2 linked regions of the Schizosaccharomyces pombe genome follow. Changing the gene in region 1 together with any one later gene gives a genetic interaction. Each region holds a gene or a part of one and is shown in the gene's direction. Other genes may lie near its edges.

What was found.
Region 2: mutations in amt3 (region 1) and SPOM_SPBC15C4.06C together harm fitness less than expected from each alone (positive genetic interaction), as found in Schizosaccharomyces pombe (one large-scale study listed by BioGRID).

Annotation. Positions count from the first base shown.
Region 1 is NC_003424.3:2,923,494-2,929,480, reverse strand, and holds amt3 (plasma membrane ammonium transmembrane transporter Amt3), read left to right. Parts: upstream 1-3,034; coding exon 3,035-4,588; 3' UTR 4,589-4,789; downstream 4,790-5,987. Other genes in the region: Tf2-3 (retrotransposable element/transposon Tf2-type), read left to right, coding at 1-2,277; SPOM_SPAC2E1P3.01 (dehydrogenase), read right to left, coding at 5,113-5,987. UniProt on the Schizosaccharomyces pombe protein: Transporter for ammonium to use as a nitrogen source.
Region 2 is NC_003423.3:2,249,916-2,256,161, reverse strand, and holds SPOM_SPBC15C4.06C (ubiquitin-protein ligase E3), read left to right. Parts: upstream 1-2,451; 5' UTR 2,452-2,755; coding exon 2,756-4,426; 3' UTR 4,427-4,751; downstream 4,752-6,246. Other genes in the region: SAGA complex/transcription factor TFIID complex subunit Taf10, read right to left, coding at 313-960; dhx29 (ATP-dependent RNA/DNA helicase), read right to left, coding at 5,153-6,246.

The DNA of each region.
Region 1 (5,987 bases):
TCTGAACATGTAAAACATGTTAAAGACGTTCTACAGAAATTGAAAAATGCGAACTTAATTATCAATCAAGCAAAATGTGAATTTCACCAATCACAAGTAAAATTTATAGGGTATCACATTTCGGAAAAAGGATTTACGCCTTGTCAAGAAAATATAGACAAAGTCTTACAATGGAAGCAACCTAAGAATCGTAAAGAATTACGACAATTTCTAGGTTCTGTCAATTATCTTAGGAAATTCATTCCAAAGACATCACAATTAACACATCCACTCAATAATCTTTTGAAAAAGGATGTACGCTGGAAATGGACACCAACACAAACCCAAGCGATAGAAAACATTAAACAATGTTTAGTTTCTCCTCCGGTGCTACGACACTTTGATTTCAGTAAAAAGATTCTACTGGAAACTGATGCTTCAGATGTCGCTGTAGGAGCCGTATTGTCTCAAAAACATGATGATGATAAATACTATCCTGTTGGATACTATTCAGCAAAGATGTCTAAAGCACAATTAAATTATAGCGTATCGGACAAAGAAATGCTTGCAATCATTAAGTCTCTCAAACATTGGAGACACTATTTAGAATCCACTATCGAACCTTTCAAAATTTTAACAGACCATCGAAACTTAATTGGTCGCATTACTAACGAATCCGAGCCTGAAAACAAACGTTTAGCTCGTTGGCAATTATTTTTACAAGACTTCAACTTTGAAATTAACTACAGACCTGGATCAGCAAATCACATAGCTGATGCCTTATCCAGAATTGTTGACGAAACAGAACCAATTCCAAAAGATTCAGAAGACAATAGTATCAACTTTGTTAATCAAATCTCGATAACCGATGATTTTAAAAACCAAGTGGTTACAGAATATACGAATGATACAAAATTGTTGAATTTACTAAACAATGAAGACAAACGAGTGGAAGAGAATATCCAACTCAAAGATGGCTTACTAATTAACAGTAAAGACCAAATCTTATTACCTAATGATACTCAGCTGACTAGGACAATTATTAAAAAGTATCATGAAGAAGGTAAATTGATTCATCCAGGCATTGAACTTCTTACAAACATTATATTACGTAGATTTACGTGGAAAGGAATAAGAAAACAAATACAAGAATATGTACAGAACTGCCATACATGTCAAATAAACAAATCTAGGAATCATAAACCTTATGGACCTTTACAACCAATTCCCCCATCAGAAAGACCTTGGGAATCTTTATCAATGGATTTTATTACAGCTTTACCAGAATCATCTGGTTATAATGCACTTTTCGTGGTAGTTGACCGATTTTCAAAAATGGCAATCTTAGTACCTTGTACGAAATCCATTACAGCAGAGCAAACAGCTCGAATGTTTGATCAACGAGTTATTGCTTATTTCGGCAATCCAAAAGAAATCATTGCAGATAATGATCATATTTTTACTTCCCAAACGTGGAAAGATTTCGCACATAAATATAATTTCGTTATGAAATTTTCGTTACCATACAGACCACAAACTGATGGACAAACTGAGCGTACAAACCAAACTGTGGAGAAATTACTAAGATGTGTATGTAGCACACATCCAAATACATGGGTAGATCATATATCCCTAGTGCAACAATCTTACAACAATGCGATACATTCAGCAACTCAAATGACACCTTTTGAGATAGTACATCGCTATTCACCAGCTTTATCACCTTTAGAGTTACCTAGCTTTAGTGACAAAACTGACGAAAACTCTCAGGAAACGATCCAAGTATTTCAAACAGTTAAAGAACACTTGAATACAAACAACATAAAGATGAAAAAGTATTTCGATATGAAAATACAAGAAATTGAAGAATTTCAACCTGGAGACCTAGTTATGGTCAAAAGAACGAAAACAGGTTTTCTTCATAAATCCAATAAATTAGCACCTAGTTTTGCAGGACCGTTCTATGTGTTACAGAAGTCGGGTCCAAACAACTATGAATTGGATCTTCCAGATTCAATCAAGCACATGTTTTCATCTACTTTTCATGTTTCTCACCTAGAAAAGTATCGACATAATTCAGAACTCAATTACGCTACCATTGATGAGTCTGATATTGGAACAATTCTTCATATCCTAGAACATAAAAACAGAGAACAAGTACTCTACTTAAATGTCAAGTACATTTCGAATCTAAATCCGAGTACTATTATGTCAGGATGGACTACATTAGCTACAGCGCTACAAGCGGACAAAGCAATTGTCAATGATTATATTAAAAACAATAATCTAAATATCTGAGAACATATGACTTATCCTCAGATTTACATAGAAAATCTTGGGGAGGGCAATGTCAGCAATACTACACTACGCTATAATACACTACGTTGAGTATCACTATATGTCACATGTTCTAATTATATATCGTACCATGTATGATACGATATGGAGATTGATCTTAATGATAATCTATTAAGATCAATATTATCTGAATACTATAAATAGAGCTACTGCTGAACCTCGTTCCTCAGTTCAGTTATGAGCTATATTAGTGATAGGTAACATTATAACCCAGTTAATACAATACCTATACTCAGTTGCTACTTATACAACCTGTGTATCGTAATATAATAGATCACAAGGAAAACTCACCGCAGTTCTACGTATCCTTAAATCAGATACCAAACTGCGTAGCTTACATGTTTTTTAAGATAGCATACTACACTAAAATATACAGCATCTCATTCTTAGAATACAATAAGACGTTTTAAGGCGCCAAATAACGTTGGTTTACCGAAAGTGGTTCTATATCGTTAAATAATAAATCTGTGAATCGGATTCAATTGAGAAAGAGTGAAAATTACTTTTACTATTGATAACTTTAGGTGATTTTTTGGTAAAGAGATAAGAACTTCTCTACATATTAGTTTACAGATCAATTAAGAAATTCACAGACTTTCTTTACTTATCCTCTATTTATCTCTCTGTTTACGTACGATACTGTGACGTACGGTATAATTTACGACTGATTTACGATTTATTTGTCGTGTACGAAAAGATGCTTAACGAGCCGAATGCGCTATTACGTCGCGACGCAAACTCCACTATCGCGACTGTAACAGAACTGTTTCCCAACGAATACTCAAATGCTGATATAGCGTACGTACTTTTGAGTACAGTGGTAGTATTTACCGTAACCCCCGGTATAGCTCTTTATTATGCTGGGATGGTTAGAAAGAATTCGGCTCTCTCAATATTGACTCAGTCGTTTTTGGTTACAGCAGTGGTGTTTATTCAATGGTATCTGTTTGGATACTCTCTTGCTTGCTCATCGGGGTCCTCTTTTTATGGAACGTTGTGGCAAGGAGGGATGAACCATCTTTGGTTAGAACCATATATACCAGGGTCCACAATTCCAGCAATTGTTTACTTTCCATTTGGTGGTCTCTTTGCTGTAGCGACAGCTCAATTGTTTGCCGGGGCAATGGCTGAGCGCGGTAGGCTAATTCCCTCTCTCGTAATATCTTTTTTATACATTACGCTGGTTTATTGTCCACAGGCATACTGGACATGGGCACCCAATGGCTGGCTCTACACATTGGGTGCCCTTGACTTTGCAGGCGGCGGTCCCGTACATATTTCATCTGGTTTTGCTGCGCTCGCTTATTCCTTATGTTTAGGTCGTCGCATTGTTGTCGACGAGCCAGACAGACCCGATTCAATTCGGTCGACCGATAATGCAGATTTACCGTCGTCTTCCCAAAACAACTGCAAAGCTAATTGGAAGCGGTGGTTTGGGTTCAAATCTGTTTCCTGGAAGAATTCCTTCGGCAGAGGAAAGATAGCTCATAATCCTCCGCATGATGCTGGTATGGTTTACATTGGCGTTGTTTTGATTTGGTTTGCATGGCTCTGCTTCAATTCTGGTACTCTATTGACTGTTAATATTCGTACAGCTTATATCATGACCAACACGCTCATTTCCTCGTCATTTGGTGCTTTGACATGGGCGATTATTGATTACATCCGTTATAGAAAGTTTTCCACTATAGGTATTTGCGAAGGTGCCATTGCAGGGTTAGTGGGTATCACACCAGCCTGTGGATTTGTATTTCCATGGGGAGCCGCTGCTGGGGGTATCGTACCGGCATTGGTATGTAACTTTCTTCATGACCTCAATGAATGGATTGGCGTTGATGAAACGCTTCGTGTCTTTAACTTACACGGTATCGGCGGCATTGTTGGCTCCATCGTGCTCGGTGTAGTAGCGCATCCCGATGTCGCTGCCTCAGATGGCGCTACAGTTATAGACGGGGGCTGGGCCGTTCATCACTGGAAACAAATGGGTTATCAATTTGCAGGTTTTACCTCTGTTGCTGCATGGTCTTTCGTCATAACAGCTATCATATGTCTGTTAGTAGATCTAGTACCGGGCCTTCATATTCGTGCATCTTTTGAAGAAGAGTTACGAGGAATGGATTTTGTTGAGTTAGAAGAGCAACTTCCAGGCCAAACTTTAGAGTCAAAACCTATGATTATATACGCTCAGGAAATGGACGAACCTGTAACTCAGGGTTCAAATATAAAACAGGAAAAGCAGGATGAGTTTTGAAAACAATAATAAGGTTACTTAGAAGAGAATACATAATTGATCATATTTATTTATAGCTTCATTATTTCTGTTTAATAATTTGGTTTTTTTTTATTTTTTTTGGTTATGACAAGTATCTTGCTGAAATTTTCAATTTTTCACAATAAAGATTACGTTGGTTATAACATGTACAGGATTGCTTTACAAGCTAGTTTTATGTCTAAAGTATAAATTGATGAATTTATCAAAATACATTGATTTGAGCAGTGTAGCATTTCAGAATATAGTACAATCATTGTTTATATCTAAAGGATGTAGAGATAAAACAATTAGTATTCGTAAAACATTATAAAAAAAATTCATCTTTGCTTATCGAAGTGTTATTTGTATAGGCAGGTTGCATAAAAAAAAATAATACCACGAAAAGCTTGTTCCTTAAGTAACGTCAATCAACAAATAAAACATGTAAGAGTATGTGCCTGTTCTATCTCTTGCCAAGGTCAAGTTATAACATAAGTCATTTCAAAATTTACAAAAGTGCCGTTTTAGTCAATGCGAACCACAAACTTTACGGCACTGTGCTTCCCTGAGGCAAACTCACGTAAAGCCTTAGGAATAGCTTGCAATCCACCATCAAATTCTTTTACACGATTAGGGATGATTACTCCTTCCTGGAGCCAGCCAGTCAATTTCTTGTATACTTCAACAGCATGATCATAGCTAGCTTGAATTGGTTCTATCTTGTTACCAAAGAAGTTGAACTCCCGGTTGAAAAGTGAATAATCAATGATTCCAATGATTTTTACTTCAGACCTAGGTGAAGGGGGTGAAGATAAAATGTTGATGAGTTTACCATCTTTTACCTTTGAGCTAAATGCCTTAACCGCTAATGTACTAGTTTCAGGGAAGCTGGCGGCATCAAATCCATAAAAGACAGAGTCATCAGTTGCTTTTTTAATAATCTCCACCACGTTAGGATCATGGTAATCAACCGTGAAATCGGCACCTAGCTTCTTAATCCAGTCAAAGTTATGAGGCGAACAAGTAGCAATTACCTTATAACCAGCGTGATGCGCAAGTTGAACCACGTATTGCCCTACGCTAGATGACCCGCTCCATACTAAAACCCATTTTTGTTGAGCGGAATTCTTGGATCCATCCGTGGGAGGCAAGGGAAGACCAAGGTACTGATTAAGTCCTTGCGAAGCAGTAGTAAACGTTAGAGGAAGCGTAGCGGCTTGTGAAGGTGTAATATTCTTGGGAACAAAGTACACCAAATTTACATCAAGAGTGATGTATTCACGCCAAGCAGCATTAGAACCGTCTAAAGGACCAGGAGCCCACCCACTAACAGTGGCACCGATATATTTCGATCTGTCGACGCCTTCTCCAACATCTTCCACAACAGCCACGAAGTCGG
Region 2 (6,246 bases), on another chromosome or scaffold:
GAGAAAATAGTAACTATGATACATATGATAAATTTTATAAAATATAAAGATAAATAATCCCTCATATGAAAACTACTGCTGAAATGGATCGATATGAGAAAATGTTTTGAAATTATGATCATCAACAATGCCACGCCAAACCGAATGTGCTATCTTCAAAATACATAATAATTTCAAAAAAGTGTAAAAGGTTAGAATTAACAACAATTAGTAAACAAAAATTTTATAGGAAAATGAGATTTCAGAAACAAAGTTCCACTAATGCATTAAGTAAGGGTCTCACACAAGTGGCCTTAGTGGGATAAAAAGTCTTTAACGGAAGAAATCGGGCCTTTTCAAATTAATTCCATATTCATTAAGAGCGGCACTTAAGTCATCTACAGTGAGCACGGTTTTTCCACGGTCACCTCTTCTTCCGCTAGATCCAATCCCGGAAGCGCCTCCGGCTCCAAAATTCTGCGCACCAAACGTAGTTGAAGATGCATTGCTACTACCGGTTCGGATTTTAGAATATTGATAGGCGTCTTGAGCAACATCAGAAATAAATTTTTGAGCTGTAAGACCAAGAAGCTTTTTTAAGCGTGGGTCAACACATTTAAATCCAGATAAACTGAGGTAATAATCCAATAACACATCTGGAATTAAGGGAGAGTAATCATCCATTTGGGCCAAGAAATTTTCAAGTGTTTTGTCTTTGGCCATATCTCGCAATTCTAAATGCGGTTCTATAACATAATTCGAGCCATGCCTTTCTCTAGAATCATCGCTTTTGGGAGAATCCTCGTTATTTAAATGTGCAGGGGATTCTACACTCATTGGGGCGAGATTGTCACCAGTTGGCAGATTTGTGGAAGACGTTTCGGGTTGTTCATCAACACTCATCGAATTATTTCCATCTTCTGGTTCTTGCTTGGGCTGTTCAATATTTTCAGCTGGCTCATTATTGTTAATGTCACTCATTCTTTCTTTATTTGACCGATGTTGTAAAGCAAAGAATGTCTTTCTGCAACTTGATTCAAATCCGTGGTTCCTTGATTTATCGTTCGACTTATTGGAAATAATAGGAAATTTATTTCCCTAGCTTATGGACTTAACTTTTAATACTTTAATCCAGTGTTTCAAGAAACCACTAGGCCAACTAAAATAGGGATGGTGGAGGTGGACTATATTCTGTATTCGTGGTAAAGTAGCATTGTTATTTACGTATATAAGGGCTAAGATCGAAAAGTAAATAATTCCAATTCTTGGAATAATGCTAGTTGAATAATAGAAATTAATATATAAGATTAATTAACTTCTGGTAAAAAGTGTTGTTTAAAATCGGTATTATATAGAGTTCGGAGCGAAGTTGGTATCTACTACAATTTTTGCTTCTATAAGCAAATGTTCAGTTTAGAGTTGAATGGCAGCCTTCTTGGACTTGAACATATGTATTCAAAAGTAATTATTATTCTCAAACTACAATGTTATTCATTTGCTGAGATGAGCATTTTAAAGTTTGCGCAAACATGACTTCCAGTTAATATGTGTTTAAAACAAATAAAAAAATTTACTACGCAAAGAAAGGATATTTGAGATTAATTTGGTGCACATTTTTTATTTCTCATAACAAACTACATAATCCATTTCCCCATACTTTACCAATAATGTATTGCTAAGCCAGATCAAAGCTACATTAGATATCACTACTAATTATTGTTATTTTCATTTCAAAACTGTCGGATCCATACTACTGATCTTTAATGATCAGGACGAGTAAAACATCTTTAGGAAAATACAATTATTGAAGAAATATCTCAACCGAACAAACTACCCTTTCCTAGTTCAGTTGTAAGTTAATACAGTAAAATATAAAATTATATAGTATATTATATCTTAGCCTTCTTAAACAAATATGTAACCGCTGTACTAAACGAACTCCATAAAATTATACTAAATTACGAGGTAGCATATCACAATAATTATATCCTTATACTAGTTTACAAAGTATACTCAAACAACATTAAATCCTATAACGTATTCCTAGTAAATTGCTTCTTATGTTTAAGGAGGATATCTTATTGTTTAATTGATCGCTAAGCGATCCTTTTTTTATTTATTTATTATAGTTCTCTCTGATCATTAATTCTCCAGCTATGCTTACCTTTTTGAAGTATCACTTCTTCGTTTTTTTATTTCTTATAATTACCATTTATTATTATTTAGTTTCTCACACCTGTTTAAAGCGCTTGTCGAATCACCAAACACAAATAAGCTGTTTTATTTCACGATTGTTTTTCTCGCCCTGCACTTTATGCTTTGTTTGTTTCATAGTTTTTCCTTCATTAAAAAACTTCTTCACTGAAGTATACTGCTCATAGTGAAAATATAATAACAATTGCTTTCCACATGTATATCACATGTATTGTGTACTATGTACGCAATATGTCTCAAGATGTTCATTACTTAGCCACCACCAATTTGTGGTTTTCAAGCTTGAGCTAGTATAAGTTAAAAGAATCACACTTTTTACTTTCTAATTTTTTGAAATTTCCTTTAAAAAATTTCATTAATTGTGTTCCACAATTCCTGCTTTAGAGATATCACCACTCAACGTCTGTTTATTGATTGAAAGCTTACCTTTCAATTACCATTAAATTTGATTCATTATTTAGAAAGATTGGTATCAAAGCAGGTTTGTTTTTTGGTAATCTTGAAACCTCCTGTTTCCTAGTTCTTTGTGTTTCTTCGTGCCTTAAAGTTTGTTTAGGTTCTTATGCATCTGTGTAATAACCAGTTGCTTGATCATCTGGATTGCAATGCAGTTTACAGAGGCTATGTTTCACAAGAGAATAAGGTAAAGAGGAGAAAGCGGCTGTTTAATGCAATTCGTAAACTATGGAATGAAAGAAGGCGATATCGAATGCCAAAGGACGAAAGTATCTCGCCAACTCCAATCTCTTATTCATTTAGATCATTAAGAAGAGGCCATACTAGTGGGCATGCTAGTGAACACACTTCTTCTTCAAGATCTAGTCATGATGAATCAGATTCTATGTCCAGTTCTAGTGAATCAGACTCGGATTCTGTTTCCAGTGAATCAAATCCCAAATCTTATTCAGATTCTAGTACTAGTTCTGCAAGGTCGTCCTCTACTTCTGGTTCAATCTCCTTGTATGATGATTATTACCCTGCTTATTCCAGCAATGCTCCAAATACTGCAATATCTAATTATGTTAGCTCTGGTCTTTCATATTACGGAAATTCATCTATTATTATGAATGCTGTCGAATACAATCAGTTCTTTCCGCTAACCATAACTACTCTTATTGTTAAAAACAACAAGAATGTTGTTTCAAATCTTCCAAAAAATGTCTCATTTTACTTCCACTCTGACAACACGGTCCTTTTGAATGAGTATTACAAAAGCTTGTCTAAACTGAAGAATAATTTTCGTGGAATTATATATAAAACTACTCCTTATGGTAGCTGCAATGACACCGAGTCACTTCAAGTTGATACCAAGGGAAGCGTATGGTTTAGAGATGTTTCTAATATGGGAAGTTCTGGCTTAATCGCATTCGCGCCGTTTGACTATTGTGCTCCAATGCATGTATTGCAGGCTGTCCAGGATAGAGCAAAGGCAATACTATTTTATAATGCAAGCACTGCTAGTAATTCATTAACCAATTTTGACCACTTTGAAGATGCTGTAGATATGATTACCTTTGAAACATTACCAATGGCACTCATATCTTACGAAAACGGCATCGCTTTTGAAAAGATTCTCAACGAATACTCGGCTTCTTCTTTAAATTCGGTGCAGGATGGTGGAGCATTAGTCGAATATTTTGGAAACATTGATGCTACGGCCCGTTTGGGCGTTATCATCAGCAAGGAACCAAAGCTACTTGGCCTCTATATATTCATTGGTGTGTTATTGGGTTTAATCGGTGTCATAGGCCTTTTTATTTGCCTTCACTTTTCTGGTGCAATGAATGGATTTTATAGACTCTTAAATCGTCATGGAATTCCTGTTCAAGAAAGAATTGTGAATATTGGACCAAACAAACCAGAAAATCGTGTTACTAAAGAAATGCTCGATACTTTGCCCGTTAGAATGTTTTCGGGGCCTCATCTTGCCAATCCTAATGATGAGTTGGTTTATGAAAAGGATTGGAAATTAGACAAATCAGAAAGTTTTGATGGACAGGGAAATGTGGTTACTACAGCCGAAAGAGGGAGTAAGTATTTCGATCAGAGGGAGTGTACTATTTGCTTGTGTGAGTATTCAGAAGAAAGTCCTCTTTATCGAGAACTGCCATGCCATCACATCTTTCATCCGGCTTGCATTGATCCTTATTTATTAAAAAATTCGGATCTTTGTCCCCTATGTAAACAGTCAGTTACAAACATGTTGGAAAATGCTTCCGAGGACAATGTTTAAACTGCATATTTATGAATTTTCTCCATTGGTTGAGTAATTCCTGTACTTCTACTCATAAGGATAATTTTTTTTATAATCTATATTAGCATATTTTGTTCGACTCTCATTCATTTACGTTATAATATTTTGCTTGTCTTTATACGCATACGCATACTCATACTTATTGTTCAGTTCTTCCTACGACGAAGAAAACTTACGCTTCCTTAAGTTCATAATTTTCTTGCATCTTTTAATGGGCTAATTATCTATTTCTCATCGTTCTAATCTATTATTTGTGTTATCGTATGAATTCTATAGTACTATATAAAAGCTTACTATACATGTCATTGTTTACTATAAAAAGTTTAATACACATGTTGCTTGCTAGTTTATGATGAAGGTACAAAAAAACTATTAAGTATTTTACAAATTAGCCGGTCTAATGCTAAATTGCATATGTAAATATTTTTTTCTTTTCATTTAGAGACCTATTTTGATATTCTAAGAAAACGATATACAGTTATAATAATTGACATTTTTGGATTTGAGAAAATTAAATACTCTGAATTGTGTCTCATAAAATAGAAAAGCCATCAGTTTCTGCAATGAAGCCTTAGATAACTCCATTTTACACATTTATGCTCAACCAACATAATTCTTACATTTTCCAAATGGAAAGAAAATTTGCCTGTCATTAAGCAGATATGTGAAAACCAACTTTCTGATATTTCATTTTTGATACTTTCATTAATCTTTGAGACGTTTCTGAAATTTGGTTCCGTAATTTAACCGTGAAACTATGTTAACAATAACCTCAAGATGGGAATTCAATAAGCGTTTATCAGGTTCAGCAAAAAATTCGTTTAGAGAAGTTTCAATAAAGCGACGTAAAATACTTAAAGATGCCGAAACGTAAACATTTTCAAAATATACTGTAAAGTTGTCAAGCTTTGCTTGTCCAACTGATACTCTATTTTCGACTTTAAGGCCGCACATCATTAGAAGCTGGCGAAGAGTAACCATAGTAGTTTCATTAACATACTCACTAGCTCGAGTGGAAGACATCATGTTCGTGTAAGCAACGAATTTGGACGGCATGTTAGGTAACTCAGACCTATTATTCACCGATACATCTAAAATTCTAACACGCTTGTTGGTACTCAAGGTTGACCACTGTCTTTTTTCGTAATCATACCTTAAAATGTTTGGATACAGAGATGCAGCAATTACGCCACACAGAATTTCTGCATTTCCTGAGTTAATATCATGCTCTTTGGGGATAACGGCAAAACGCCGGCATATTGAACGTTTTAGGCTTTTGCAAGTATCAACATCCGAAGCGCCTAAAAGTTTCATATCCTTCAACTCAGAAAGCAGTTGGATTTTTAGTGATTCTGTCATACTTAAAGCCTCTAAATTTAAGTACTTTTCTTTGGCAAAAGAATCTTCATCAGGGCCTAAAGGTGAAAGGCAAATCTCTCGCCAAGCGCAGTAAGCATAATACATCAAAACTAAATCACTCCTGGTATTCTCCTTAGCGAATGATAATCGGGCTTTGTTTGCAGAAAATTCATTGTCAACAGATTTCCTAAAAGGTGAACCGATTGTTAACATGGCTACTATTGAAGAAGCGGCATCTACACATTTGTAGAAGCATCCCAAAACCAAGATTTTTCCTAAATTTGCATCAACAGGTAATTGCGACAAAAATTTGCCGAGTTTTGTTAATTTTTCGTTTTCAGAGAGCGCTCCCACTTGATGAAGCTTTTCTAAAGCACGAATAATATTGGTAGAGGAAGGTGGATCTAACGCCTTGCCTAAGACATCTTGTACATCACCCA